Callithrix jacchus: one gene and its partner. The main gene of each other region encodes a partner of the protein of the gene in region 2 in a complex. Links are inferred from orthologs where the notes say so. Each region holds a gene or a part of one and is shown on either strand. Other genes may lie near its edges. The genes, in order: ARHGEF12 and PLXNB1.

Region 1 (16,041 bases), on a different chromosome or scaffold from region 2:
ATAGAGTAACACTTTCCTACATGAACATGTTTTTACTTCAAGAGAGCAATATCTGAACATAGCAGTAACCTGCAAATGACTAAGAACATGTCTGCACTTTTCATCTTAGGATCTCAAAGCACTTCACAAACCTTAATTTAACCCTTATATCACCTGAGAGGTAGTGATAAAATAATACATCATTATAACCATCTATCCTGCCAATATAAAATATTTAAATACCTCTTCAGCAGCATTTGCCCTGAGAAGGTCTTGCTAAACAGCCAATAAAACAGGAAATAGGCTGACAGTGCATGGGCCACCAACAATCTCTGAAAAGATCAGACCTTCACCCACAAGAACCACTTCCGCTGGGTAAACCACAGAGACTGTACTGGGCAAACCACAACATACCAGCTTGTGTCTGGAACACAGGCAGATAACCCATCTGGAAGGATATGTCTAAGTACTTTCACAGGATTTCTTGTATATTAAATGTATTTGGGGTATCTATTACTCTTCTAGACAACATATAATCACTTTCTGCATTACAAGATCAATTTCAGGTATCACTCCTTCAGATGCTGATGAAGTCTCCAGTTTTTTTTTTTTGAAACGAATCTTGCTCTGTCATTCAGGTAGGAGAGTAGTGGTGCGATCCTGGCTAACTACCTCTGCCTCCCAAGTTCAAGCTATTCGCCTTCTCAGCCTCCTGAGTAGCTGGGATTACAGGCATGTGCCACCAGATCCAGTTCATTTTTGTATTTTTAGTAGACACAGGGTTTTGTCATGTTGGCCAGGCTGTTCTTAAACTCCTGACCTCAAGTGATCTGCCCACCTAAGCTTCCCAAAGTGCTGGGATGTACAGGCATGAGCCACCATGTTTGACCAGTTTTTCTGCAACAAAATAATCTGCATTTTTTTGAATCCACAAAAGACCTACAAAGTCCTCTTTGATCTTTTGAGCATATGAACATATGATCAGCATTTATACGTAAATGACAAAAACTGTAGTATCGCAGCAGTATCTTTAAATGACTCTAATGTGTTACATAACACCAAAAGAAAAAGCAGTGTGACAAGTAGCTAATTAAAAGCATTAACTAAAACCAGGGTTTCTTAGATACTTCCAATTTCTGCATGATTTGTTACTTGAAGTCCAAGACAGGAAACCTCCTTTTCATTGGCCATTAGATTTGCTTGTCTGTAGACACTGAGAACCACCCAGGGCTGTCATGTGACTATGATCTCGAAAACCTGGACCAGCATTTGAATCAGTAAAAGACCCTGTTTTGGTATGAATCTAAACTGCACTGGTGCATGCTAACTCAAGAGTGTATTTTTTCTTGTACTAAAAGTCAACAATACATGCTCACGTAACTTAGGCACAGCCTCTGACCAGGCGCTAGCTTCATAGGCTTCTCTTGGAGTTAGAAGGTGCCTTACAACTGTTTTTCCTATATGACTGTCTTGATGCTTCCAGATATTCTAAGTTGAAAAAGTAAAATGCTCTAAATTTGGCATGTTTGCAAATTTTAATATTACCAAAATACAAAATATTAATATTAGCAATATACGAAACAAGGACAATTTCAATAATCTGAAACTAAATTAGTACCAAGGAAAAAGGTCTAATAAAATATTCAAAAGGTCTACAGTCTTATAGATTTTTTAATAATATGCACTTTTTCTGTTACTGTGTCTTGTCATTATTAACAATTCTTGCAAATACAACAGCAAGAAAATAAAATATTTCAATTTTCACAACATCCATTTTGCTGAAGAAAAAAATACTGCTAAGCATTGCTATTTCACTAATATGTGAAAATAAGAGGTGACAAAACAATAAGGTAAAAATAAACCAAAACATTGGGTGAAATGGCCTACAATTAAGATAAGGGACTAAAAAACCACCAAAAAAAAATTAACAACTTCCTGATGTATTTCATCACATCGCAACAAGATGATTTTCAACCAACAGTGGCTAACATTATTTCTATACCCTACCCTTTTGTCATATAATTGATAACATTTGTTGACAGTACTCTTATTTGAAAGAATCACTTTGTAAAAAAGCCTTTTATAACATGAGTAATTGCTTAATTAGTTGGTGTTTGTATAAATGTGTTTGTTTCATTTGACTGTGACACATCTCATATCCATTCTATAGACTATCTAAAAAGTGAATCAAAATGACCTTGAGAATCTCTTTACCCACATTTTTGCACTAGGAGAGCAACTGAGAGAAAGCTAATAAAGTATTAAGAGAAACAAGTTGATTTTTAGACAATGGATCAACGGAAAGCATAAAACTTGGCTAAGCAAAGAGTAAGGGAAAGGGACCGGAAAGGATAATGAATAACCGTCTGAAACATTTAGAATCATACAAACATAAAATGGGAGGAGAGCATTGTTTAGCCTGGTACAGCAAGTACATACAAGTAACAGGACAACTTAAAAGAAAAGTTTGAGCTAAAGATCGGGAAAAACTTCCTGACGGCAAGATCTATCAGATTACCATACTCTTTAGTCTCCTTAGGAAATGACAAAAGCTTTCATCCTCAAGAGATATTTAAAATTAGAACGGGTAAGGTACTAGAAAGTATGCTGTAAGAGAAAACTTCAACTGACTTCATCAAGTTGGAGAGTTACTAAAGAAAAATAGTACAGAAAAATATAGTACAAGGACAGACAATAACTTAAAGCAAAACAAATGGGAGACTTAAAAGCCAGAAAATCTAGGTTAAAATCCTTGGTCTGTCCTTTCTAGTTTTATAATCTTGATTTAAACTGTATGAATTACCTTATAGCATGACAGAAACATGATCTGCCCTGTACCAAATTGAAAATATTGTAAATGTTAAAGAATTATACTATCACAGGATATCATTACATACATGATGCTATTTTACCAAAAGAAGGCAAAATTATAACTTTGTTGATTCAAACATTTTCATTCACATGGCACTATTTTGAAAACCTGTAATTATTAAAAGGAAAAGGAGCATGTCTTCAAATAAAGCTCAAGAACATTATCAAAACCAAGTTTTAACAGAAGACCAAAGGAAGTTAAGCTATTACTCCTGAGTATGTGTCATGGTCAATTTCTAGGAAACAAGCAATTACATAAGAAACATTGATAGCAATGAGACAACCATGATGCAAAAGAGTTCCTTCAGTTACCTCTGGGAACCGGTATGTCATCCTGCTGTTTCTGTGATCCCTATCAGTTTGGGAAGCAATTCATACCCAGTTCTGGATGTCATTTAGACCACATATGTACAACGAAATATTTTCCAACTGTCTTCCCTTGGAACTGCAATGCTCCACAGAAAAATAAGTAAAATTCACCATTTATGTATTCCATGAATGTTTGCCTCAAACTTCATTTTTTAAACTGAAAACTCAAACTTAATTTAAAAAAAAAAAAAAAAACCTGCCCAGCTTGGTGGCTCAAGCCTGTAATCCCAAGCACTCTGAAAGGCCAAGGCACACAGATCAGCTAAGGTCAGGAGTTCAAGACCACCCTGGCCAACATAGTGAAACCCCATCTCTACTAAAAGTACAAAAATCAGACAGGCATGGTGGCAGACGCCTGTAAACCCAGCTACTTGGGAGGCTGAGGCAGGAGAATCGCTTGAACTTGGGAGGCAGAGGATGCAGTGAGCCACGATCACACCACTGCACTCCAGCCTGGGTGACAGAGCAAGACTCAGTCTCAAAAAAAAAAAAAAAAAAAAAAAAAAAAAACCTACATCTCAATGGTATATACATGTTAACAACTGGAAACCACCAATGTGTTACGTGGTATTCCAAGGTTAACATATTTTTGTAAAGATTTCAAATAAAGCTTCTCTTGTGACCTCAATGAATATGAACATCATATAATATACCATTAATCAGGAAAGCTACAACTCTGTACTTTCAAAAAAAGTTACTTTAGGCTCTGCATGTTGACTCATGTAAAACTGTCCAAGTGACTGTACTATTGCATACCTTTATGACTCAAGATTTTATACGCAACTAAAGAGGCAAAGATAAAACTGAATACAAAACTAACACTGTGATCCTTAGCCCCCATTTCCATTTTCTATTTATTGACTGGCTGACTCTATGAGAAAAGTTTACAAATAATTTTACCTTACAGATATATGATTCATGCAATGTTGAAAATAACATGTAAACATGAGTAGTTCTTTTTTTTAGTCAAAAGCATTATATAGCAATTTTGCTGATGAAAGTATCATTAATGAAAACGCTAATTACTGGGTAGAGACACAATAAAGTCACAGGTTTCCACACTCATTTAAAAAATTTGCTTAAGTTAAATAGCTTAAAGCTGAATTTGGTACTTAAAAAATTATATCAAAAACCTATGTTTATCTATAAGTCAAAAACTACAAAATTCATAAGCCCTAGGCAAAACAAAATTCCATTTATTTCAAGGAAGACCCTTGTAATTTTCCTAACTGTACTGTCCCTGAAAATTCAATGTTATACACGTTGGCCTGAAATCATTTACTGAGTCTATTGAAAGAGCATTCTCTCCCTTCTACCTCTCAGAAGAAATTCCAATTGCTATTGAACCCCTAAATTCTCAGGGATACAAGAAGGACATGTTGGAGGATTGGAAACAATGAGGATATATTTTAATATTGAATAGAGCAACCAAAGCAGACTGAACAGCAGCAATCAGACATCTCTACCACTTGTCAAGTGCTCGTTCTCAACGATGAAAACTACGGACTCTAGGTTTCACAAATAAAAGCAAAAGACTGTTCATAAACTGCTTAGAATTTTTTTTAAAGCTGTTTGGATATACTACATAGAAGCAATAGCTACCATGAACATAGGTTGAGTTTTAAGTTTTAAAAAGAGTTCGAGTTTTAGGTTTTAAGAAAAGGGGGTACAGACTGGGGAGTAAAAGATGAAAAGAAAGAGAACAAGTGAATGTGTTGATTTAACTGCAAAATAATAACAGGATGTAAGAGAGTTCTGAGTATCCAAAGTGACCAATCAGAGCCTAAACATAGCTGAATTCCATCCCAGCCCCAGCACGTCCCTAACACAAGAATAAAACCCTTATCTTGTTCAGCCATGTGTCGCCTGCCACAAACTGCAAAACAGAACAACGCCCAAAACCATCTAGTCTGATTTCAACTGAGGACAGACAGACTCTGTAGTCAGAAGCACCACAATGAAAGAACTCTAACTCACACAGCTGGCCTGGTGGTTCTGCACACTCTACAAAACAAAGCCATACCACATACAGCACTTCAAACTTGAAAGGATCTCTATCTAAAAAGCTACACTGGCGCTGTTAATTTTCCAATAGTTCTAGAATCAGCAAAATATATCTACAGTACACTGGAGTTAGTGTAAAACTCTAACTTATCTCCAGTTAGTGTAAAACTAACTGGAGTTAGGGCTGAGAGAAAGCTAGAAACTATTCTCTGCTGATAACCTTGTTAAGACACCCTGGTATAGAAATAATATTAAACCAGTACCTCCAGATTTCACCTCTCTTAAGAGCAAATGGATGCTTTATATTTACAAAATGTATTTAAAGAAAAAGCAGTGGTCAAATAAGAATAATTCTTAATAATAAAAAAAGTAGTAAATCGACGAAACAGGTCTCAGCAGTGCTTACTAATTGGCTTTCCAAGGGTTTTTTCTTTTTTAAAAAAATATGTAAAATTAGGGAGCACCCAAACCAGTTCGAAAAACATTAATGCCCAAACCAATTTGTAGATTAATCTTACGATATTCATTTTGTAATCTCTTGTGCCTAGCACAGTGCCTGGCCACACACAAAAAAAAACAAACAAAAAAAAACAGGCTTCCAGTAATTTCATCCTTATTGAATGTTTATATGCCATCTAAGTTATAAAGAAGATACAAATCCCAAGATTCTATTTCCAAGATAATGTGAAGAAAAATCCCTGAGAAGCACTGCTGAAGAAAAATCATTACTTGAGGGCTTTTAAGTGATTTGTGTGTGGAATGAGTTCATTCTGTTTCTATAAATTAAACAGCTCAGTATCGCAATGAAAACCAACATTACATTAGTTCTTAGTAAGACCTCTTGTCTACAGGCTCAACAGAAAGACCAAGAATTGAATGAACCAGGAAAACAATTATCCCTACACCCGTGAAAGTGATTTCTCAGAAGAAAAAATACCCTGAAAGGAAAAAAATGGGGATAACAAGAAGACAGCAAGATAAGCACTGTCAATACTTAAGTGTATTCTTGCAAAAATTAAACATTATTTCATTGAAAATGAAAAGCCATTTTGAAAAATACACAGAGTAAATATAAATACTTTAAATATTTAACGGACTCTTTTAAGTGAACATTCATGTGACGCTGAAAAGCATCAACAGGAAGAGGAAGTTAGTTCTGTTTCTGGAGTAGCTGTTATGGTATGATAATGGAATTTGGCTCTTTAAAATCAACAAATGAGTCTTACAATTGGGTAAAATTCTTATTAGGAAATTAAACTACTTTGTGCAAAAGCACTATTGTTGCACTTTTCATCAAAGAGCTTTGGCACTCTAATTCAGTTACCTGATCTATTTTTTCATAATGTAATAGTTTGAAGACTGACTTAAAAATAAAGCAAGCTGACAAATTTGGGACTGGCATACAGTGTCATAATTAAATTGAGAAGTGAAATGTGGTGAAGAAATCAATATGCTTTTATCCCTTACCCTATGAGAAGAGTAACTCTTAGGAAAAGCAAACTGCACTTCAACCACACATGGTCTAGCTCAATTCGCCCCACACCAGCATGCAACATTGATAAGTGCTATAAAGGGCAGACACAGAATTCAACAAATTAAGCTGCACGCTTATACTGTGCTTATGGGTTTATATGTTTTAAACGCCAAGTGTCTCTGGAAGATGAAACCTTTAAATACAAGAATTAAAAGCAAACCCCATGATTTACCCTCATTTCTTCAGCTCCTGGACACTGTCTCCAGCAAGAACCTGTGATTTACTGGTAATGTCAACATTCTGGAAAGTTATTAGATAATAATTAAACACTGTGCAGGTCAACATCTAAAAGAGATCAGGTTCCCAGAGGACCATGCAGTAGGCTCAACATTACGTTCACAGGTAGAAATTCCTAAAATGTAATTGTCTTGAGAACTACTGCAGGACAGGGCTAAAACCGAAAAACAATACACCAATACCAAGCCGACTTCAGACAGCGACCTTCACCCCAAATGACCTTCTCTTCTGATTTCCAGATGAGTACACAACCCTAATGCACACTACAGGCGGAAAACCACAATCATGGCTTTACCGCCCCCTTCTCCGAGAATCGGGAGGGAAGTTTCTCTCCAGAAAAACTACATTTCCAAAAGCCAATCAACTGGCTAACTGGCAGCAACCCGGAGCTAACTGCACAGCTCCGAAACAACCCTCTCTCCTCTGCCTGTCAACTTCGCTGGCCAAAGGCAATCTGCAATCACCGACTCCGCTGCTAGGTCGGGCCCAATTCCGGGAGGCCGAGAGGAGGAATTCATACCAACCTGTCGGTGATAGTAGACTGTGTGCCACTCATTGGGGCCCTTGGCGAGAGATCCTCCTTTTATCCAACTTGCATTTTACAGTAACACCTCCTCCCCACCCCCAGTGCTCTGGGATCAGGCCCAACTCCGTCAGGGACGCAAAAGTCCAACTCAAAACTCCATTCAGTCATCTAGACCATCCGATTGGAAGAGGTCAAGGGATGCGGGTTGGAGCAAAACAAGTTATCTCCCAAAACAAACTGAGAAAGCCAGGGAGCGAGTCAGTCCAGAGCGAGTAGAGATAGTGAGAAATCCTCCAGGGGCACAAGGAGAAACTTCCTCAGAGAGAAGTCCGCGAGCCGTGGGAAGGGGACCCGGGACTCCCGCCGGGGCTGGGGCGGGATCAGCAGCTCAGGGACGGGTGTCGGCTCCTCCTCCGGAGTCTCGGGGCCTCGAACTCCCCGCCGCGGCAGGGCCGGGGCCCTCCCTCCCCGCTCTCTATCTGGGGCTGCCGGCTGCTCGTGGCCGCAGCGTCTGCCGCGTCTCCGGCCGTCCCGCGCCGGGCTCGCGCGGTTCCATGTCCCGGGCCCGGGGCTCTCCTCCTGTGGTCGCCGCCCCCACCAGGCTCCTGGCGCTGGGACGAGCCGCGGCCGCCGGGGGAGGGGTCCCGCGGCCCAAGGTGACAGGGACCCGGGTCTCTCAGCGCCGCGGACTGCTCCCCATCCCTTTGAGGCCCGGACTCTTCCGCAGTCGCCAGAGGCGGCGGCTCCTCCCCGACGCTCCCCGCGAGGGGCGGGAGATGCCCGTCCGGCCCGGCCTGGAAGCCCTGGCCCCGGAGGCGGAGGCGGCGGCAGCGGCGGCGGCGGCGACTCCCCGCGCAGGGCCGGCTCGCCGGGTTCTGGAGGCCCTCGCGGGCGCGCGCGCAGACGACGGAGAAGGCCGACGGCGGTGGGGGCCGCGCAACCACGGGCGCGCGCGCGGGTTCCGGTTCCGGTCCTGGCTTCCCGGCCCCGGCGGCGTCCAGCGCGAGCTCGCGCTTCCCGTCCCCCGCTGACTTTTTTGGCCCCCTCCTCTCAGACTTCGGGAAGCCGCCTCACCCGGGATCCCTCCGCCTGTCAGACTCGCTCTTTGGCCTCCGCGCGGACGCCTCCGCCGGAGCCCGGTTTGGGGGGAGCGGAAAAGTAGTCCTGCGGGGCGGAGGGAGGTGGGACCCGTGCGGCCTTGGGAGGCCCACCCACCTCCCGCGGCGCCCGGAGCCCTGAGTGCCGAGACCTGCCCCTTCGAGTCCAGTTTGTACTGAGTCGACTTTCACCACAGACCGCCGAGAGCGCCCCCCAGACCCCGTGGACATTGTGCCGGAGGCTCTTTGGAAATTACCGGACCGACTTGTCCTGGAAACATTTATTCCTTAAGGGAATGTACTCGGCGCTCCTGTTTCCTGGCTGCGCGTGATCTGCCTGTGCCGGGCCGGCACCCGCCGCTAGCGCTACTGGAGACCCCGCTCACCTGGGCACCTGTCGGCCCCGGCGGGAGAGCGCGGCGGGAGCGGGAGGCTCCGGGCTGCGGGGGAGCAGTTGGGGACTGCAGCCAGGGCTCCTCGGTATAAATATTGCTTTTAGGCTGTTTCTGACTTGGCAAAATGAAATGTGTTATTTGCCAAATTGAGAAAGCATGGTGCTTTCCATAGCGACTTAACAAGCGTGTTGTGGAAAGAAATGGGAGAAGAAAAAGAAGTATATTTATCCAATAAATAGCATTACGGTTCTCTGAAGGGTTCCCAGACGATTTTTCGTTTTTTTTCCCCTACTGGGTAGAGAGATGTAGATACTCATCTAATTTTATGATTGAATAATTCAGTATTATGGCAATTTAAGTACTACATACAATACAGTTCTTCAATTCTGCCTGCAAACGGCTAAAGTGGCTATTCCCTGTACCCAACTATTTTCAGACTTTTGAGCTTAGACCTCTATGTTGGTGGCAAGGGATTTCAGCCATTTTGTGGAATCCAAATAGCAAATCAATCTAATAAACAATGGATGTGGAGAGAGGAAACAATTACCTCCTAACAATACTGTCGCAAAAAGTCATTCTGAAACAGTTCATGCAAGGATCATTATCCCCGAATAGAGGCATGAGCTCAAGCTGACGTTAGTTAGAACGGGGTAAAAAAAAAAAAAAGCGGAAAAGATAAACAGAGGCCAGAGACGACTCTTTATTGCTTGATTTTTTAGGTTCAAGGCACAGCCAGCTAATTCTGTAATGTTTATTTTTGGAAAGAATAGAAGCAGATTAGCCAAGAGACTTTCCTAATGATGAAACCAAGACACATTGCCACCTGCTGGCGAATCCTAGCATAACGATTCTACCCTGAAGACTTAAAAATTGAGTGTTTACATGTAACTGGAATCCCATTCATTCATCTATCTGTCTGTCTATCTATCTATCTGTATGTCTATCTATCTGTATGTCTGTCTATCTATCTGTCTGTCTGTCTGTCTTTCTATCTATCTATCTATCTATCTATCTATCTATCTATCTATACATACATACACTGGCCAAAATGCAAACCTTATCACCAAATTTTAAAAAATCTTTCTTAAAAGTACTAAATATCTTATGCTCCCCTATTCTAACAATGTTACAGTGTAAGTATCAATTAATTGAACCCAATGACTCATCAAATCATGCATTTTAAAAATGAGTTCCCTTCTTCCTTTAATACTTTAAGGAAGCCTCAATACTTAAGCTTCAGGAATAAAACGAACTGGGAAAGTTTCCTAATTCACCTTCTCTTCCTTGCATACAAAACCTCTTGGCAAGTTGCTTTCAAGATCTTTCCAAACTTAAACAGACCCACGGTTCTAGCTGTGAGCAAAGAAGGCATTTTGCTGTGGGAAAGCTTCAGAAGATGGTAGGCAAAGGATTGAATTAAGCCAGTGGTTATTCATTCCAGAATTAATTTTTTTAAATGATGAAAATCTCTATAGTCGCCTACAAAGCATTAATGAAACAAAAAAAAAATACCTGAAATCCTCTTTAAAGCTGCTGGTAGCTCAACTGTTCTAGAGACTATAGGATGCCTTCAGAAAGTCAAGCCAGTCTACGGAGAACATACTCCTCAGGGCCAGTAGTGCTTTACCTAGAAAAATGACACTGATGACCCAATCCACTGGACATGCTCTTTGAGGAGGTTTCCCAATGGGCATTATTCTAAACTACATTCTTATCCTCTCGTCCATTCTTTCAACATGTTTATTAAGTATCTACTATGCATCCCAGACTGTTTTAGGCATTGGAAGTACTGTCCTCAAGACAGGGCCCCCAGCTGTCTTCAGATGATGTTTCTGATGTCAGCTCACTTGCACTACCACTTTAAATGCAAGTGTCCAAACAGGTGGCAGAACAAGAAACAAATTAAGGTTCTTCCTCTCTCTTTTGGCAGACTGTTTTCTGTATATCAATTGTTACCCCCCCCCAAAATAAAAAATATCGTGAATGATTGATAATGAACAGCAGATTAGAGATATTCACAAGTATGAATACAGGTCAACATTTCTACAGGTCAAAAGGCTTTTTTTTAACTTCTTGGCAAAACCACCGCAAAAATATAAAGACAGACTCTGGATTTATAAAAAGTTGTTTTACTTTTATAAAATTTAGTACAAATCTTATGGAAATATAAATCCTTCTTGAACAGTGTTAGTTATCATTACATAGTAATCCAGTGCAAATGAGTACTTCATTTTGTCCAAGTATACCACACATTAATTAGCCCTTCATTTACCTGTGGTTTCAAAACTGAGCATTATCTTAACTGCTGAGTCATCTTCAGTTCACATTGTTCTCTCAGAGGTTTTTTTCATAGTTATTAGTGACAACATCAAGAAAAGCTGAAATGAGGGATTCCCTTCCCCTTACCAATTATTCAGATTTCTCACCATTCAAAAAAACCTATATACATTCCAATGAAAGTGTCTCCAAACAGCAAGATCTGCAGTCCCTTCACTTCTGGGGAGTAAGAGAGAAAAAGAATTGGTACCAGATTAAGCCTGTTCATTTGTCTGGTATGGAACAGGTTGCACTGTGCCAAAATTCAAGAGCCAGCTTTTTTATTTTTTAAGCTCATGTGCCAAGCCACTCTTTTCTGCTAGGCTTTTGCTAAAATCAGCATTCCCCAGCATCCTACTTTGACTGCAATTTTGTTGGAAAGAAGCTCACCAGCATTTTAGGGGCACTCATGATAGAAAAAATAAAAAGTGGAGATTAAAAAAAAAGAGTGGAGATGCTGTCAGATTATCTCAATGACCAGCAAAACTCTTTCATATTATTTTGAAAGATCCACTGTTAACATGCTTTTAAAGTTACTGTTCCCTTAACAGTGATGACTTTACACCATTCCAACCACTCCCTCATGCTTGGTTTCTGTGGCCAAGACATCCATTTTCGAGACTCCTCATTACGTGAGATTACCAGTGGCCATGGAATGGACTGACACTTCCTACTGACCAGCCTTGGCTCCAGTAGCACCATATGCTTGCTCACCCACTGAGCTAGTCAAACATCATTGAACTAAATAACATGGTAAAAATAATCAATAAATACTTCATATTTCCATAAAAGCCCTATTTTAAAGACCTCCATTAATAAAATGCCACATAATGTCTCTATGAAATATATAACAGGGTATTTTATTCATTTACAATAGGTTTAAACTCAGACAAATAATAAACGAGTAACCTATCCAAATGATCTGGCAAGTGAGTAGCGAAATTAGTTAAAAGAACCCAGGAATTCTTGATTCTTAACCCCTTGTTCTAAGTTTATGTTCTTGCTTCTCTTGGAGACTGTCACACTAAGAATTATTATGTTTTTTCCTTTCAAGATTGACCTTGTCATATTAGTTTGTCCATAGAGTGGTACCTTTTTAATAGAAATAAGAAAAAGGGAAGAGTACTAAAAGGGAATGTATCTAAAATGAAAAAAAGAAATTAACCTCACCCCCCTGAGGCCAGTACATACTTTAAAGTCTTTGGTTCTAGTTTGCAATATGTACAGCAGAGCTGAAATCTAAACTGCCATCTCAAGCACAGTGGAATCCACATGGTAAATCCCTATGGAATTTAGTCATAGCCTCAAATGCCTAGGAGATTAATGCACAAAAGCCCTGAGAACTGGCATAGTTTTCCTGGTAGGGCAGAACTGTATAACAGAACTCAGTAAATCTCCCACACTTCATTCATCTCAAATCCAAAGCCCTAACTCTATAGGTTTTGTGCATCAAAGAGTTAACATAGCAGGCCTAAACTGCTATCCTTGGAGAGGCCTGATTACAGGGTTGGCCACTGGCCGGCATTTGGGAACTTAGATTTTGGAAGGGCTCCCACCATTAACTGATAAGACTGGTTTACTGTATCTGAACTGTTTATGCAAATAATATGGCTTATGCTGGACACCTGTTTTCCTTTTGAGAGTCTTGAATTTTGCTCCCCGCTAGAGAAAGGCTGCCTAGATGACCTGTCCCCAGTAAAAACTTTGGGCACTGAGTCTGTAATGACGTTCTCCCGTAGACAACCCATTCGCATGTCACAAATCATTGCTAGGGGAATTAAGCGTATCCTGTGTGATCCCACTGGGAGTGGACTCTGGAAGCTTGTGCCTAGTTTCCCGAGACTTTTTCTCAGGTGCCTTCTCCTTTTACGGATTTTTCTTTGTATTTTTCACTATAATAAATCAGAACTATGAGTAAGACTATATGCTGAGTCCTCTGAGTCCTCCCAGAGAATCACGTAACCTGACAGTGGTCTTGGGGACCTCTAGCACAGTTGGTATAGGAGGTTCAGTAAGTAACCCTCCTCCTCACTGCCAGTTTTACTCTCGCCCTCCTATCCCCCTCTGTTTAAGCAGAACTAATTCCCTGATCAAATGTTCAAAATGCCAAAGGCGTGTGTCTTCCTAAAAGCCCCTCACTTTATAGTAAATGGGGTAAACTTAGATAAATTGCTACATGGAAAGCAGAAATCAGTGTTTATTGAAAGAGTTACTTCTCAAAGGAACAAGAAATGGCACTAATCTTTCGAGTTCCTTTCTAAGCTGCCCGGACATCAAACCTCCCAGGGAAGGAGGACCCAGGGTCACCACAAATGAAAGCAAATGCCTGTAGTACTCGCTTCACAGTTCTTAATCCCAACTACCAAGGAGTATTCTCACTTTCTACAACTGTGCCACTGTAGAAGTTAGGGTTTTAATACTGAAATATGCCCGGCTTGAAGACTGACCAAATTGATCGATAAATTTAGCCCTTTTTTTGAAACCTAAGTTTGTTATAAGCATAATTCCGTAACAGTCATATTTCCAACCTGGTTCCCACGGCTGACTTAACCCAATCCATAACCTGGAGCAAGCCTTGGCTAGTGTATTTTGAGATGTCCATTGTGTTTCAGCTGCCGTTCCTCACTCCGCCTGCTTCTCCAAGCATGGTACTTCTTGATGCTCTTCCTCCATGCAAAGCGCCAGATGCTAAACATAAAACACCAAGACACAGCATACATTGCTACTCCCCCAACCTTCACGAACCACTTAGGCGTGGGGGAGACCATTTCACAGAAAAGGAGGCGAGCTCCTACACCAATCCTCACTCCTGTGAACAGAGCCACAAAGAGGAAGTCCACAACATCTCCAGTGAAACTGTGATAGTGCCCTGTTTCCCGGAGAAACCAGCGCATCTGTAGCAAGGGGTTGGTAAGCTCACTTCCAAAGAGGACTGCATTGACCTCTGTGCCGGACTCCCCAAGCACGAGGGCCATGATAATGCCCAAGATGCTCAATGTGTGATGAGCCAGCATCAAGGCACCCTCAGACTGGAAGTAGATGCACCAGCCCAAGTCGAAGATGAAGTAGCCCAAGGTGAGACACAGAACGTGAACTTGGAGAGGTGTATTGGGTGAGCCTGAAATAAACCAAGACAGAAGCAAATTGAGTGACTGGGAATTGTGCTACCTTGCACAGGTGTCCTATGTTGTTCTCTTTCAAACCTTATTGAACATTAAAGGAGCAAAAACAATGGCAGGCACGTGCTTTTTAATGAGAACCAAAGAAACACTAAAATATAAAATCAAGGTCTTTATCAAATGAAACGATGTTTAGACCCCAGGAAACGCTTTTCTGATGAATCAGACTTCAGCGAGTTTGCATCCTTCAATGAATGCAGGCAATAATCTCAGTGTCCTCTCTGTGGAACAGCGTAAAATCCAGTTATTTTGTTCCTTTAATTAAAATCCTAAACTATTTTTTTTAACCCTGCTAAAGGTTTAGTTCCAGACTCTTGAGTCATTTCCCAAATGTCATATTTTTTTTCTCAGCTTAATGGGTTAGGTTATGAACACTCAGTGGCCCCAACTCATCCCGAAAGTAGACTCTGGAGAGGGCCGCAAAACTGAGTGTGTTCTCATGCCCAGGAACATGGGTTTCAGGGGCCTGACATATTTGAAACCATTTAGAACCTTCATATAAAACACAAAGCTTAACCATTGCTTTCATCACTTTGACAATTTGGGGGAAAACTCAGAAACTCAATAAGAGAATCTAAAGAAATATTTTTAAAATTATATTCCAGGGAAGTTAAGGGCTGTATTGTGTCCCCCCTCCCCAAATTCATATGTTAAAGCCCTTAACCGGTAGTACCTCAAAATGTGAGCGTATTTGGAAATAGGGCCTTGAAAGAGGTAATCAAGTTAAAATAGCGTAATTAGAGTAATCCAATGTGACTGTCATCTTACAAATAAGGGATTAGGACACAGATATGCACGCGTGCGCGCACACACACACACACACACAGAGGGGGTGACCATGTAAGGACACAGTGGCAGGGCGCAAGCCAAGGACAGAGGCTTCAGAAGAAACCAGACCTGCTAACACCTTGAACTTGGACTTCTACCCTCTAGAATTACAAGAAAATAAACATCTCTTTAAGTCACCCACTCTGTGGCACTGTGTTATGGCAGCCCCAGCCGATTAAGGGTGTAAAATTTTTATATTTATGAAAGTAACACTTGGACATCTAGTAACAATTAAAAAGGATATGGAGCATCTCATCCTCTTAACGCAGACATGGAAAGATGTCTTTTGAACAGACAGTCAAGTAAAAGTTGCAAGTTGCCAAAAATATGTATAATACAGTTCTATTTGTGTCTTTTGGCGGAGGGCAGGGTGGTAGTGGAAGATGTTGATATTGGCTTTGTGGTTTTTATATTTCTGATTAAAACTGCAACAAGCAATTTAAAAGTTGTTTTAAAAGTAGAGTTACAAAAAGCAGAAACAACAGGCAACATAAACAATAGCAGAGTTAATGAAGAAGAGGATTCCAATACAAAATTATAATGGGAGTTAATTTTCAATATTGTACAAATTCTATTTTAAAATCACATCCTTCTAAGACTACCCCCAAATCATAAATCCCTAAGGAAAAATCCCCTACCTACCTGGGTGGGTAAAAGGCCATGGGCCATCAATGAAGCCAATATAAGCGGAGAGGCCTATAGAGAG
Region 2 (15,510 bases):
GGAATTGGATAAAGTATCATTCCTAAGTAAGACAGAACACTTTTAAAGAGAGATCCATAAAATATCGCCAGTCAGCTGACCTAGGCGGTTTGAGTGTATTTGTTCCTTGATGTGCCATCCTAAGGGAACCTGGTGGGGGAGACCCTTGCATCAGCAGCCATTGATGCTCAGCAGAGCAGCCTAACACAGCCAGGTTCCCTGTATCTCCCAGCTCCGCCCAGAGCCACCTGTTGGCACTGGCCAGTGGGATCCAGAGTCCTGACCATTTGCAAGGTTTCAGGCTGCTTCTAAGAATTCCAACACTCATTGGCATACATTCAGCTGTTATCTTAATTAGCACATGATTCTTTCAGTATCAGAAAATTAGTAAAAACACAGAACTCCTGGATCATCTAACCATTTGGACAATTACTCCAATTTTGAAGTTGGTGAAAGAGCTTTTAAATAAAGCAAATCACTCCATAAACGCTTAAGGAGTGCTGGGTGGTAATGAGAAACAAAGGCCCTTTGTATGCGAACGGGTTTGTGGAAAATGTAACAATGAGGGCACACTTTGGTAATCTTAATTTAAAAAATAGGAAAAGATTGATCAAACTGAATTACAAATGTTCTATGCTGAAATAGGGCCATGGCCCAGGTAAGTGATCACGAATTCTTGCTGGTGCTGGAATCTCCATTCTTGGTCGTGGTTTGGAATGAAGACAGAATTTCCTCTTATTGTGCCAGGTTTTTCTTCTTTATGTCTGTTATGATAACAATGTTCTGTGCCGGCCGAGCCATGACTCAGTGAGTGACTCAGAGCACGTTCAGTACTCACCCCTCCCGTGGGCACGTGCCCAGGCTTACAAGCACATGGCCTCCCTCTCCCAGCAGCCTTCCCCTGCCCCTAAAACCTGCAGGGGCCTGAACCTGGAACAGAGAGGCCTCTGGAACAGAGGCATGGCTCTGTCGAGGTCTGTGATGTTGGCCAAGGCTGCTTCCCTCTGTGCCTGCTTGAATTCCACCCCAAACTGGATTTCTCATCTGCCCTGCTCCCTGAGATGGTCAAGATGGCGATCAATTCCACGGTTTGGCCAGAGCAGCCAATGGGGGAACAGGTAGGACCATTCTGGATGGCTATGAAAACCTGGCCAGAGCATCCAAGCTCACATGCTCCCAAATGATGGCACCTGGCTGCTGACCTCACTGTGGTCCCCACATCCAGCAGAAATGGGAAAGGGACATTGGAGCCACTGCAAAGAATAGCAGCTATGACCACCCCTGGCACAAACAAGACCAACATGGCTCCTAAGGGACAAGGACCCTGCAGATGGTTTTATTTAGGGCCAAAAAGAGGCAGGGGATAGGAGTCCTCCTGGAATTCTATCAGTCTCTGCCTCTTCAAACGCTCAGTGAAGACCCCTGAGGGGAGGAGTGTCTGTGCCAGGCGGGAGGAAACGCTGAGGGTCGCTGGGTTATGGAGAGTAAGCAGAGGGCCAAAGGGATGAGCCCTCTGAAGGCCTCAAGGCTGAAGGGTCCTCCTCTCATCTGCCAGGCATAGCTGCCACCCTATCTCATCTGTTCCATGGGGGGCTGGACTTCTGCTGAGGCCGAGGGTGGTCTCAGTCAAGAGGGGTATCAACCCCCTGCCCTAGAAACCCAGCTAGCAACATGAGACCAGATAAGATGGTCTCCAAGCTTACCTCCAGCTACCAGTTAGGAAAAGCCATCTAAGACAGCCTTCATGCAGGCAGTCAGTTTAGGAGCCGGCCCCAGGAGGCCCTGATTTGGAAATCAACACAGAAACCCTAAGTCTGGGAACAGGACTATGGAAAATAGTCCTTGAGACCCCATCTGCCTACAGTTGCCTGTAATGATGTCATCCTTTCCTAGTCCCTTTCAAGACAAATAGAACATGAGTGGAGAAGTGGGGATACACAAACTGCAGATAAAGTGGGCCCCCTTGAAGAAACTGTGGACCCTCTATCTCGGTCACCAACCCTGCCCCAGATGCGGTTCTCACTTCCTTCACAGAAGCTGTGACCCCACCAGGCCCTGCTCAGGAGTCAAGGAGAGCCTCAGCCAGTCCTGCAGTCTGGGATATGTTGGGGAGACCATGAAACTCCCCCAGGGTACAGATACCACCTCCCACTGGTACCTGCCAGGCATAGCGGCCACCCTCCTAGTAGCGTGGGGCTGGGCCAGGCTCACACATCAGATTCTGCGCAGTGTTTTAGCCTTTAATTAAGAGCTGGGTCAATGGAGCCACCACTCTCCCCAAGACCCCCTGCAGCAGATGGCCCTCACCTTGGCTACCTGTGAGGCAGGGCAGCCCTGTGGCAGCCAGCCCTGCTGAGGGGTCTGTCTGCAGTGGCCTAGGAGAGGTGTTCATATCCTAGACCTAGAATGTGGCAGCAGCAACAAGGCCAGAGGCAGCTCAACTGAGGTCAGGGATGGTGGAGGAGGCACACAGGAAGCGTGGGGCTTTCCTCCTTCCTCTCTGAATCCCAGTGGGGCCAAGGCCAGTGTTCAGAAACAGTACAGTCTCCCCAGGGCCTGGAGGCTCTTCTGGCCACTCTCTGGAAGCCCTTAGTCCCCAGCTCCCTGCAGACCGATGTCACAGGGTCACTGGGTTTGGGAAGCAGGCTGGGTACCACCCCATGAGCCTTGAGGCCCTGGGCCTGGGAGGTGGGTCCAGCAGGCCTGAGGCCAGAGCCACCAGGAAACGGACGGGGAGTCACCTTCCACTAACTCTGCTTGTCAGTCACTACAGGCATCTAGGAGGGTGGCCTCTCCCACAAGCTTCCAGGGCTGCCCCAGCCAGGCTGAGGCAATAGCAGGTCATAGCTCCTGGGTCCCTATAGATCTGTGACCTTGTTTTCCACAGCAGCTGCTATCTGCTGGAGCCGATAGCCTAGCTGCATCTTCTGGGCTGTACCATCCTCCTCCAGGGCAGTGATGATCTGAAACAGAGACAGATGCCATCAGGGGAGACTTCTCTGGCCAACGTGTTTGCTGCAGAATTAAATGGGCCTCCTAAGACGCTGTAGCACGAGTGGGGTAGGAGGCCAAGAAACCCAGCTAGTCACTTCATGTACTTTCTGTGACCTCAGGGCCTCATCAGCGGGAGGGGTAATAACATCAAAGCCACATGGGGTTTCAGGATTAATAAGGTAGGAAATGAAGGACTTTACTTTGTACCGAGCCCCTCAGAAACCCTGCTGCAGCCATCCTGGCTCACTCACCCGCCATTCTGGCTCACCCACCCTCCAACCAACAGCATTTCCCAAGTTCCTGTCTGCCTAGTGCCAGACAAGGGACAGAGACCCAAGAATGACCAGACACCAAGAATGATCAGTATTCTATTGATCAAACACGAATCACAAATTGGGGGCTGCCACAAGGGGAACCGGTAGGAACTGGGAGGGCAGCAGCACTTGGGAAAACAGCCCTTGCCCACCATGTCTCCATGAAGGGACATGCCTGCATTATACCCTGCCTCCCCCACGCCCCATGCCATGGCCCACACCATGCCCAGGAAGGCTGTGGGTCATGAGGCAGGTTCCTCATCTCTGAGCAGCAACAGCCATGTTACTGGTGCCACACAAACATCTAAGTGGACTATTCCAACAGGCACCCAGTAGGTTCACTGGCAGGTGCTCAGATCTTCAGGCCCAGCCCAGGGATCCTCCACAAAGCTTCAGCAGCTCCATGGTACCCTCACAGCCCTGGTCCTGTGCCTGGACTCTCTCTTGGCAGCTCGTGCAGCCAAGCCAGGCCTGCACCTGCATATTGGCTGTGCCCAACATGCTGCCAACTCAGCAGATACACACCATCTCCAGGCCCTGGTAGACCCCTCAGCCCCACAACCATCAGCACCATGTCTTGCCGCCCTGCTGGGGAACTGGAATGGGGAGTGGTGGGATAGGTGAGAGCACAGCCAATACCAGGAAGCCTACCTGGAGAACACTTCCCAAACCATGAGAGGCCCAGCCCCTGGCTATGCTGTCCCTGCCAGAGCCTCTCAAGCCTCCTGAGAGGCCTTGGGTCAGCCTCCCGGTTGGGGCCAGGGCCTACCCACCTGGTCATAGTACTTGTTGATGTACTTGTAGAGTTCATGCAGGGCCACTCGTGCCCCAAGGTCTCCGGAGTAGTTCTAGGGAAGAGGCCAAATGAGAGATGAGAGAGATGAGGGTTGCAGCCAGCCACAGGAGGTGGCCCAGGACCCCAGGGAAGGGTTGGGGAGAAGGGGACCTCAGAGGTAGAGAAAGGGATGAGCCTTGCAGTGGGAAGCAAAGTCCCCTCCAAGGCTCAGGGACCCTGGGCCAGGCATTCCCAGCTGGGGACACAACAGGGCAGGGCAAGGGGGCCTCCTCAGTGGGAAGACAGCCCAGGTCTGCCTGCTTCAGCAAGGCCTAGGGTTTCCACTCTTGCCCCCTCAAGGTTCTAGCCCAGGCCCTCTGCCACCAGGTGACTTCAGAGCCAAGTGGCACAGATGCTGCTTGCAGGCTGATAGCCCGGCATGATTCTGCTCTGGTCTAACTCAAGCATTTCCTGAGGTTACTCTCAGGCCCCTCCATGAGGCCATCCTGAGCCTCAACTTCCTCACCTGGTCGATGGAGTTGGTGTCACCTAACCTGCGGAGTTCTTGTGAGGATCAAATAAGACAATCAAAGCACCCCATGAAGGGCTTCACACACAACACCCCAAAAGCACAGCTGCTATGAGTACTGTGGTTGTCATCATCATCATTTCAGAAACATTGTTCATAAACTCCCTGGAGTTACATTTTAGGGCTGTTTTAGGAGTGGGAGGGGTAGAGGGGACACCTATGCCACCAAGGGAGGCACAGCAGTGGGAAAACGCATGCAGGCAGACCCAGGCAGGCATGGGGCCGAATCCCAGCTACCTTGCAAATGCCTGGCTGAGTCAGGGTACATGGCAGCTGCCAGGACAAGACCCCTGCTTGCTCTGTGATGAGATGGTGGGGACCCTGGTCTTTCAGTGGCAGTTGGAACATTCTGCACTTATGTGTCCTGCCCCAACCAGTTCACAGGGCTGCTGAGGTTCCCAAGGGCTTCCCTGCAAAGGGGCAGTGTGAAGGGGACTGGACCATTGTGATGGGAAGCCTATGCCCAATCCAAGAAGCAGAGGGAGGCCTTACCCAGGACAGCTCAGCCAGGACAGAGTTCATCTCTTGGTCGCTGGCTGGGACAGTCTGTCTGATGTCTGCATAGTACCTGCCAGAGAGCCAGAACACAGCCGCTGCTGGGTAAACAAGCCCACTCCCCCAACCCCACCAAAGCCCACTCTCTGGGCCTCAGCTGCACACACCCTCCAACCTCTACCATCTCGCCCTCCAGTACCTTTCCACCATCCGCTTATACCGGGGGATGTCCCGCGCATACAGAAGTTTGTTGATCGGGGAGTCCTGGACACAGCAGGAGGACAGCAAAAGAGGAAGGAAGGAAGGAAGGAAGAATGAGGGCCCCTGTTCAGGTGATCAAATGTCCTAGGTTTCCCAGCACTGCTTCAGTTCAGAAAATGAGGAAGCCCCTGAGTCCCAGAAAACCAGGATAGGTGGTCACCCTAGCCTACTTCCTTCCACAGGAGCCTCCTCTGCTCCCTCCCCTCCATCAATATCCAGTCTCTGATGTCATCGGAAATCATTTCTAGCCTCCGTCTAGATCCAGCAAAAGGCAAGTACGCAGGGCAGGAAGCACACGGTTCACTCCGGGGATCATCATTTTACAAATAAGCAGACTGGCCATGCGCGGTGGCTCACGCCTATAATCCCAGCACTTTGGGAGGCAGAGGCGGGTGGATCACGAGGTCAAGAGATCAAGACCATCCTGGTCAACAAGGTGAAACCCCGTCTCTACCAAAAATACAAAAATTAGCTGGGCATGGTGGCGTGCGCCTATAGTCCCAGCTACACTCAGGAGACTGAGGCAGGAGAATTGCTTGAACCCAGGAGGGGGAGATTGCAGTGAGCCGAGATCATGCCATTGCAATCCAGCCTGGGTAACAAGAGTAAAACTCCATTTCAAAAAAAAATTAGCAAACTGAGACCCAGAACATTACCTATGGTACAGGAGTGAGATAGGTGGAGGGGACGCCCGTGCCACCAAGAGAGGCACAGAAATGGGAAGATGCATGCAGGCAGACCACCTCACTCCCCAGTGGCTGAGCTCAGATTTGAAGCAGGTCTGTCCAGTCAGTTTCCACCACTTTAACACACCCAGATATAGCCTCTACCACTGAACTGGGTTCAAGTCCCAGCAGCCATGGGCTCTGGGCAGCATACTTCTTTTTTTTGAGATGGAGTCTTGCTCTGTTGCCCAGGCCAGAGTACAGTGGCACGATCTCGGCTCACTGCAATCTCCGCCTCCTAGGTTCAAGTGATTCTCCTGTCTCAGCCTCCTGAGTAACTGGGACTACAGGCGCCCATCACCATATCTGGCTAATATTTGTATTTTTAATAGGGACGAGGTTTCACCATATTGGTCAAACTGGTCTCAAACTCCTAACCTCAGGTGATCTGCCTGCCTCGGCCTCCCAAAGTACTGGGATTACAGGCATGAGCTGCTGCACCCGGCTGGGCAGCATATTTCTATTCTCAGGACCTCTCCTCATCCTAGAGCTGCTGAGAAGGTGAGAAATATCTCGAGGTAACAGTGTCCCCTGTGAGCAGGGACCCAAGACCAGTTCCTCCGACGACCTGAGTCAGGATTCGTGCCTTCTCAACAACTCCCCATGGGGGGACCCCTTGGCACTCCTGATTCAGACTACTCCTGAGCTCCCCAGGAGCCATTTGCTGTTCTGCTGGAAAAGGGAGGTACTCGGAAGATCTGGCAAGAGTTCCGGCCACCACATGCGGTCCAGCTTGGAGGTGGCCCTCCAGGTCCTGGTGTGGCACTTTGGTTCTTAGCTCATTATAGGCATAATGGTGACAGCATGTGCAACAAAGATGGCTCCCAAAAGACAGTGCTTCCATTTTGGACAGAACTTTCCATTTCTGTTTTTGTTTTGAGACAGGGTCTCATGCTGTCACCCAGACTGAAGTGCAGTGGATGGCGCATTCATGGCTCACTGCAGCTTCAACCTCCCAGGCTCAAGCCATCCTTCCACCTCAGCCTCCCAAGTAGCTGGGACCACAGGTACACACCACCACTCCTGGCTGATTTTCGTATTTTTTGTAGAGATGAGGTTTGCCATGTGGCCCAGACTGATCTCAAACTCCTGAGCTCCTCAGGTGGTCCGCTCACCATAGCCTCCCAAAGTGCTGGGATTCTAGGCATGAGCCACCATACCCAGCTAATTTTGATTTTTCCCAGAGGGGTAGGAATGTACCTCTCAAGAGGTCCCAAGCCAACTGAGATTTGAGGGTCTATGCTAAGCAGAGCCCCACTCACGGACCTGCAGAGTCACATGAGGGCCCTGCCTGGGCACCTGAGCAGACACTCTGGGGACCTCATATGTCAGGGGACTCCCGGCCTTGACTGCTGTGACAACAGACTCCCAAACTCTGTGCTCCTGGATGGCTCAGACCACTCAGTCTTCTGTGCTTCCCAGCTCCCCTCCTCTCACGTCCCTCAAACCATGACGCCGGACTCTTTTCCCTACTTCCCCACTGGCAGGCAGACACCTCCAGCACCCTAAGAAATTAAACCCACCCAGCAGCCCGGAGCTGCTCCAGGATTGAATAATTCATGTCTGTACCTGGAAGCCCCACAAACACCAGACACCTCCTCCAAGTCTAACCTTACCATAGCCAGAGGCCCAGGAATATGTGACCCCTCCTTCTTCCTCATCCTCGACATCCGACCTTCAGCATCTGCCTGCCCTGCACCCTCCTGCTCAGCTTGAACCCAATCACTGCTTGTCAGGAAGACAGCACAGTGCCCTCTCGGGCCTCTCTCACTCAGCTCATCAATGCACAGCAGCCACAATGTTCCACTAAACTCTCAGGTCTGGCCACACTACTCCCCGTTCCCAGACCTTCTGTGGCTCCCACTGCCCCAGGAGTGATCCTGCCAAAGCCAGCCACACCAGGCTGCACTTGCTGCCCACAACTTTACCTATGAGTTGGCACACAATGCCCCTCCCTCCTCTTCCTCATCCCTTAAGACTGAGGCATTGCCACCTTCCAGGGAGCCCCTGGGACGAAGCCTTGGCCTGGGGATGTCAGACGTCTACCCCTTAACCTCTCTTTGAAATTCTCAGAAAAACCTGGAATCTGAGTACACACACAGCACTGTCCTCCCTCACCCATCTCCCTCCACGTCCATCCTAGACTCACTCACCCGGCCCAGCTTGTGGTCGGCCAGGGTGCAGGCATCCATGAAGGTCTGTGCAATGACAAGGAGCACCGCATCCATGTTATCAGATGTCTGCACGTCAAACACAAACTGCGGGTTTTTTATTATATTGATCCAGAATCTCAGAGGCAAGCTGTGGGTAGGGCAAGCATGGCCAATGAGTGTGCTGGGGAGGCAGAAGAGAAGACCCACACACACACCTCGAGCCCACCTGGCTCCACCCCACCTGTTGGTCTTCCAGATGTGGATGGTGTCCTGGTCGGAGATGCCATGCTGCTGGGCCTGCTCGTCCAGCAAGTCGAAGAAGTACTTAACAGCAAGAGGCACAGGTCGGCTGGTGCTGAGGATCACCTGGAACAGGTCATCCACGAACTTCTGCAGGGTACCCTGAGGGAAGGGGAAGCAGGGAGGTGCCGTCAGCAAGGTGGCCTCAGCAGCAGCCCAGACTCAGACACCCCCAGCACTGTGCCTGCGAGAGCCCCACACCACCCCCAAATCCCATGAGTGGCCCTGCTCCCCCTCAGCCAGGCCCCACCAACTTGGCAGCCCCCATCCCACCTTCATGGACAGCAGGCGGGTCAGGTAGATCTCAGGGATGGCCTTGGCACGCTCACGCTCCCCACCCCGAAGGCTGCCCCTCCGAGGCCTGGGTGGCTCTGGCTCATCACTTGGCTTCACCAGGTGCCAGGGCCGGATGCCCCCCTCATCTACATCCTCCAGCATTGGGGTCCCTGTGGCAAGAGCCCACAGCTGTAACCCCTCCCCAGGTGCCACCTCCCCAGGCCCCTGGGATCTTGCCAGGTCTCCCAGGGGTGGGGGCACCTGGTTGAGGGCTTCCCTGGGCAAAATGGAAATAGGCACAAGCCTGCCCTGAGGCCCAAAGGACCTTCCCCATGACTCAGGGCTGGGCACAGCAGGGGCAGAGGCTATGATGGGGACGGTACTCACGCTCTCCAGGGACATAATCCTGGTTTTCCCGAAGCACATGCTTGGTGAGGCAGGGAACAAGGGCCACAGTTGCTCCATCTGGGACCTGCTGAGCACAGCTGGTGATCCCTCCACCAGCCCCTCCCCACAAGTCCCTCCTCCAGCTCCCACCCCTCCCACCTTGTAATGCTGCAGCGTGTTCAGGCGCCTCCACAGACCCTGGACCTCAGAAGTGACATCTTCGTCAGAAAGAATGAGGTGCCCGGCCACTCCAGACCGCCACTCTGCAAGGGCAAGGCAGGACTGGGTGCAAGGTCGGCAGGATACCCTTCCCACAGTGAAGCCCACCTCTTCCTCCACAAGAACACCAGCCCCTCCAACATGGGGCAGCCTTACTCAACCTCTCCAAAGACCAAGAGCAGAGACCCCTCCCCAGGTGAGAGGCTATCCAACAAAGATGCTCCAGAGCTGGCTTCTGCCTGCCTCCCAGCGTCCTACCCACCCTGAGTGATGAGCTGTCCCTGCAGAGCAAGGCAATCCCAGGCCCAACATTGGCTCAGGTCCACAGGGGCCCTCCATGCCCTCACCAACATCCAGGGTGTGAGGGTCTGGCCGCTGGGTGAGAGGCACTCCTTTATAAAGCTGGTCCAGCATCTTCTCCTTGGCCTGGGAGATGGTGTCACAGTCCAGGACCTTCACGGGCACGCCCTGGGCCTCTCCTGCCCCAGGTCCCACAGCCAATAGCGCATTCAAGGTCTATGCAGGACACACAGAAGCCGTCAGGATTCATGAACACTCAGGATGACCAAGACACAGGCCAAGGGCAGGAACAACTCATGGGAGCCGCTGCCTCCGACCCCCACACACATTCCCTAACTCTCATCTCTTCAGCTGCCTGCCTTCCCCAGGGACAGCAGCTTCCTCCCCATTGTGACCCCAGCACCTAGCATAGTGCACTTATAAATGACTATGGGGTAAATGGCAGAAAAAAATGAGTGAGCACCAGTCCCCAGGTTCCTGGCTGAATGGGTCAGGCTGCAGGAGCTTTGGGATGCCTGCATGAGCAAATATTCCCATCCATCTGACAGGGGAGGAGCTCAGCAGGCCTGAATGGGCGTTTCCCACAGGAATCTTCGTGCATAACTAAGGAGAAAGCGAACCTGGAGAGAAGTGCTTGCCAGAGTGGGGCTGGCGTGGGGGGCAAGGCCGCATCCCTGGTAGGGCCAGGCAGACAGGGTCAGGCCCTAGCACAGCTCAAGCCCATGTCCAGGGCAGGGCTGGCTCCTCCCAAACCCTGGTTGTGGCTACCTGGGTTTCATCCTTAGCCTGGGGCACCCAGAGCCCTTATCATCAAGGTCTGCCCTAAGCTGCTATCCTGCTAAGCTAGTCTGACGGGCTGTCTCCAGCAGCCAGCCAGAGGTCAGCCCAGCTCTCCATCCAGGTACCCACATCAGAAGCTGGTGTTCAGACACCACACACCCACACACCCTCAACCCTCATCCTCACCTCACACTCACACTGCAGGCCACACACACACACACCCTCACCAGGGGAGAGTACTCCACACACATACGCACACCCTCACCAGGGGACGGTATGCCACACACACACACACACACGCACATCCTCACCAGGGGATGGTACTCCACACACACACACTCACACCCTCACCAGGGGACGGTACTCCACGTCCTCTCTGAGCAGGCGGTTGTCATTCAGGGTGTATTTGGCCTTGCCAGTCACACTGTCCACTGGCCCCTTGTCCACTTGATGCTTAATCCCTCGGAAGAGCATGTACAGAGGCTCCCCTACAGAGTCCTAGAGGAGTGCAGGCAGTTAGGGGCCCCCCGGCAGGTGGCAGAGGTTATGGGACATGACGCACACCGGGGAAGGGGACAGGACATGGGCTTTAGGGGACTGAGGACAGGCTAAGCAGGAGTCTCTGCTCTGGCACAAGTGTCCAAGCTGCATGGTAGTTAAGGGCTTAGAGGTCTGGAGGGCCTGACCCTCCATGGACGGGATCCCTGTCCACCTCTGCCCCTCACCCTCACAAAGGTGTAGAGGCAGATGGACATCCAGTTGGTGAGCAGCTTCTCCACCACGGTCTCTGTCCTGAGATGACAGGAAAGGGGAGTGCCAGGGTCAGCAGGCGGGACTGCGGGCCTCTCTATCCTGCAGACCCCCAGCCCGAGGCCCCATCCCAGCTCCAGCCGTCCAGGGCCCACCCAGCCCCACAGCCACACAGACCTGCGCAGCATCAGCTTGGGGTTCTTGGCCACATACTGGGCAACCAGGTCACTGAGCAGGGTGCGGAGGATGTCGGTGAAGTACTCAAGCTTCCCATGCAGTGCCACAGTGAGCAGCGATGCCACGTAGGCGCGGTCCCGAGCTGAGAAGGTGCGCTGGCTCTCCAGCGTGTGGATGAACTGCACTCAAAGAGGAATGGGAGAATGGAGTTAGGGGGACAGAGGCGTGGGCTCAGAAACCATGCCCTGGAGAAGGGGCAGAGCCAGGGCGGGCCAGGAAGGTGCAGGTGGGGGCACCTTGGTGAGGAAGAGCTTGCTGTTGAGCAGGTTAGAGAGTTGCCCCAGCCCTTGCTCCACGGTGGGCCGTCTGCTCTCAGGCACACCCAGGTCCCGGTGCAGGGGTGACTCGCGGTGCCCAGGGAAGAAGATCCTCTCCGCATACACCTTGTAGTCAAGAAAGGGGATGCCGCTGCCCAGGAGGTCACTGGTGAGATCGGTCATCTCGGTCATGAGGTCTGTTAAGCAGAAGAGGCCAGATTTGGGCACCAATCCCATGCGATGGGAGCAGGTTTGGACAGAGCCTGGAGAGCAGGGCCCATTCTCCTGGCCGCACCTGTGAATTCCTTCTTGCAGCGGTCACGCACGCTGCTCTCCAGATTCTCCAGCTGGATCTGAACCTTCTTATAGTCCCTCAGGGCCTGCTTGCTCTTCCTCCTGCTCAGCACCAGGGCCAGGAGGGGACAGCCGGATAAGGCCAAGACCCTCACTGGGTCGTACTGGCCCAGCCCTGCCTGACCTAGCCCCAGGCATACCATGGCTACATCCAGCACAGTCCAACCCAGCCATGCCAGCCAAGCCGAAGCCTAGCCCGATACAATTCAGCCTGTCCCCTCCCAAGCAAGTCACATACACCCATGCCCTGTCTAGCCCAGCACAGTTTCACCTAGAGATCAGCCAACCACAACCGGGCGGAATCTGTCCCACAACCTCTTTTAATAAATCAAGGTTTGTTAGAATGCAGCCACATTCGTGTGTTTATGCATCGCCCCAGCTGCTTGTGTGCCACAGTAGCAAAGTTGAGTTGCTGAGCAAAGACCACTTGGCCTGCAAAGCCTAAAATATTTATTCTCTAGCCATTTACAGAGAACGTTTGCTGACTTCTAGCCCAGTCTGTCCCTTCCCAGTCCAGCCAGATCCCATGACCCGCCCCAGCCCAGCCACATTTGGCTGCACCCACCTGTACATGAGGACAATGATGATGACACCCAGAGCCAGAAGAGAGGTGCCCACCCCCAAGCCCACCTGGGCTGCCACAGGAAAAGCCCCAGGGCTCTCGCCGTCATACTGCACGTGACCCAGGGAGAAGCGCAGGTTCCCCATCTGCACCTGTGTCGGGAGCCACCTGTGAGCGAGGGTTCAGCCCAGGTTAATGCCCGCCCGGCCAGGGACCTGCCCACTGACTGTGAACTCAGGCAAAGCGTCAGGTGCCTCTCGGAGGGCATGGTGCCGTGGCAGGGGCTGCTCCATGGGGGGCTCACAGTACAGGTGGTGCCGGGTCAGCGTCTTCACCACACAGGGGCCGTCCCCTATCATGGCCACCACCTCCTCCTTGGACATTGCAAGGTCCAGGTTCTCCCCCTGGAACAGAGGGTCACCAATCAGTCTCTCAGATCCTGTCCTCCCCAAATGGGAAGGACCCTGAGACCCACTCCCAACAGCAGGGCTGAGCTGACATCCTCTCAGCACCCTTCCCCTGTGTGCAGGCCAGTCACATGATGTCCTCCACGCTGATCCTCATCACCCTTCTCTGCCCTTCCCTATTCTTCTTTGCCAGAATGAAAAATCCGGAGAACATAAAGCTGTCTCCCAAATCTTGCCCAGTTACCTAACAAAGCCGGAGCCCCACTCTGTGTCTGATGGCTCACCAGGTAGGTAATGATGGTTGTATCTACCTGTGGTCTGTCCTCACGCCTATCTGCTGCCCGCTGTGTATGTCCAAGACATGTGACTAGCACACATCCATGTGAGCCAGGCTGCCAACAGGGCATCAGCCCAGTGGCCTGCGTGGACCACACCACCCAGCTACTGCACAGGCCGAACATATGAATGCAGTCATTCCAGAGCCTGCCATGGAACGCATCAGGACCCTGGCCACCAGCCAAGCAGTCAAGGCCATGCCAGATGCTAAGCTAGGCAACCCACCGCCAGCCCCGTCTGCCCCGCCACAGCAAGGACGAGGAGGCATGTCCATCCACCAGCCCCTGCTCTACTGTCTCAGCCTCTGCCACACACAGCAGTGCTATGCAGCCAAGGGAAAGGTCTCGGGGCCCTGCCAGGTCCAAGTAGAAGCAGTACCTCCACGGAGAACACACTCCCAGGCTTGTGCCGGAATGGCATGGTGGGGTCCTCAGGGTTGAGTGGCTGCAGGGTGGGGTCGGCTTCATAGGAGAAAGGTGTGGGGTTCAGTGTTGCAAAGTCAAAGACCAGGTTGTCAAGGATAAACTCCACCCGGACCCAGGGGTTCTCCGGCAGGCCCGGGAGGGCGGGTGTGCGGCACGTGATGAGCTGGGAAGAGTTGACGTGGCACAGCTCCTCAAACTGGAAGGAAGACAGGCAGGTTGATGAGGGGGCCAAGCAAAGACGGGAAGAGCCTCCTCTGGCCCCTGCTCTGGCTGTCCCCGGGGTGTGGTGTGGGGTGAGGGGAGAGTGTGGAGGTACCCAAAGGTGTCCTACATGCTGGCCACTGCAGGAGGGTCCCAGGGAACACGCTGTTTCAGGGACCAAGCGGCGCCTCCGTCCAAGCCCCTGGCTGGGCTGCAGCATTCTTGAAATGATGGTCACTCTAATTCTTGGCGTCTGCACCACATCCAGATTCTGGCCACGGACCCGTATCTCACGTCCTCCACTGAAACAGACCATGAGCCACTGATGGCTTACGTGAGCTGGACCTAAAGCACAGCCCAGCCCCAGCTAGGTCAGCTCAGCCCCGGCCCCAAACCACATGACCCCCGACCCCTACCAGCAGCATGGGATTCTCAGCACCCCAACATAAAGCCCTACAAACCCCCACAGGGTGGAGCCACAAAGATCTCCCTGCCACCTGCCATGCAGCCATGTCCTTGGCCCAGCACCTGAGGAAGCTCTTGGTGGGGCCAGCAGAGGTGATGTTGGGGTCGGAGGTGTACTTGAACTGGCCATGTTGAAGCCTCCTCTCCGTGGCCCCAAACCACACAGCCACAGGGAGTGTGGCAGGCGCAGGGTGTGGGCTGGTCTCACACCGCAGCTGTTCTGACTGCTGTTCCGACAACCTGGGAGGGGAGGTGGGAATGAATGGAGGGGTGCAGGCAGGGGAATCTCAGACCACTCAGGCCCCAGCTGTCCTCCCTCTAGCGCTGACTGCAGTCTCCACCAGGTGTCCCTGGAGGTGCACTCCCACGACAGCCAGCTAGGGAGGGTCTGGCCACTCTCAGAAGGAGCAGACTGGCCCTTTCCCCTTTCTGCTCTCCCCAGCATTCCAGCCTCCTCCATCTTCCCCCTGGAGCACATGGATTTTTTCAGGAAGAGGAAGTGGCCCTTACAAGTGACAAGGCTGGTCTCCAACCACCACTCGGATGTCCTCCAGCCGCCCAGTCAGGAGCTTGGAGCCATTCAGGGTGAGACAGGTGCCCCCAGCTCTGGGACCGCGGGCCGGGAAGATGGAATGGACCTTTGGGTCCTGTGGGAAGGACAGGGAGAGAGATGAGCATCAGACCAGAAACAGGGAGGTGGGGACCACCTGAGAGACAGGATGGCCCAGGGCTGGAAACCTCACCAAGGCATAGCCACATGGGTTGAGAGGAGCCGCCAGAGGGGGTGGTCCACTGGCAGCTGGGGGTAGCTCAGCAGTCAGGTACCTGGTAGGCAAAGTCGTGCTCTGAGACACCGCGTCCTCTTCCTGGCACCTCCACCGCTGCGGCACCGGCCACCTCCTCCCCACTGGCCCCGGTGATGCACACGAGGCTGTGGGCACAGGGCAGGCTATGGGGTGCCAGGCTGCA

Evidence for each region.
Region 1: the proteins of PLXNB1 (region 2) and ARHGEF12 are in contact, whole or in part, in an NMR structure (PDB 2OS6), measured with the Homo sapiens proteins. The link is inferred for Callithrix jacchus from reciprocal best matches to the Homo sapiens genes PLXNB1 and ARHGEF12. Residues at the interface, in NP_001123554.1 of Homo sapiens: Glu2129, Lys2131, Val2132, Thr2133, Asp2134, Leu2135; in NP_056128.1 of Homo sapiens: Phe82, Gly83, Leu84, Thr85, Val86, Ser87, Gly88, Asp89, His127, Val131, Lys135.

The regions. Positions count from the first base shown.
Region 1 is NC_133511.1:19,976,456-19,992,496, reverse strand, and holds the start of ARHGEF12 (rho guanine nucleotide exchange factor 12), read right to left. Parts: upstream 8,429-16,041; 5' UTR 7,551-8,428; coding exon 7,519-7,550; intron 1-7,518. Other genes in the region: TLCD5 (TLC domain-containing protein 5), read right to left, coding at 13,908-14,446, 15,978-16,041. UniProt on the Homo sapiens protein: May play a role in the regulation of RhoA GTPase by guanine nucleotide-binding alpha-12 (GNA12) and alpha-13 (GNA13). Acts as guanine nucleotide exchange factor (GEF) for RhoA GTPase and may act as GTPase-activating protein (GAP) for GNA12 and GNA13.
Region 2 is NC_133516.1:31,045,774-31,061,283, forward strand, and holds the end of PLXNB1 (plexin-B1), read right to left. Parts: intron 15,473-15,510; coding exon 15,367-15,472; intron 15,189-15,366; coding exon 15,052-15,188; intron 14,782-15,051; coding exon 14,605-14,781; intron 14,379-14,604; coding exon 14,192-14,378; intron 14,072-14,191; coding exon 13,829-14,071; intron 13,112-13,828; coding exon 12,935-13,111; intron 12,860-12,934; coding exon 12,711-12,859; intron 12,188-12,710; coding exon 12,087-12,187; intron 11,989-12,086; coding exon 11,771-11,988; intron 11,654-11,770; coding exon 11,475-11,653; intron 11,340-11,474; coding exon 11,273-11,339; intron 11,046-11,272; coding exon 10,899-11,045; intron 9,984-10,898; coding exon 9,815-9,983; intron 9,512-9,814; coding exon 9,408-9,511; intron 9,334-9,407; coding exon 9,249-9,333; intron 9,032-9,248; coding exon 8,859-9,031; intron 8,688-8,858; coding exon 8,527-8,687; intron 8,434-8,526; coding exon 8,286-8,433; intron 5,411-8,285; coding exon 5,346-5,410; intron 5,220-5,345; coding exon 5,144-5,219; and 8 more. UniProt on the Homo sapiens protein: Receptor for SEMA4D. Plays a role in GABAergic synapse development. Mediates SEMA4A- and SEMA4D-dependent inhibitory synapse development. Plays a role in RHOA activation and subsequent changes of the actin cytoskeleton.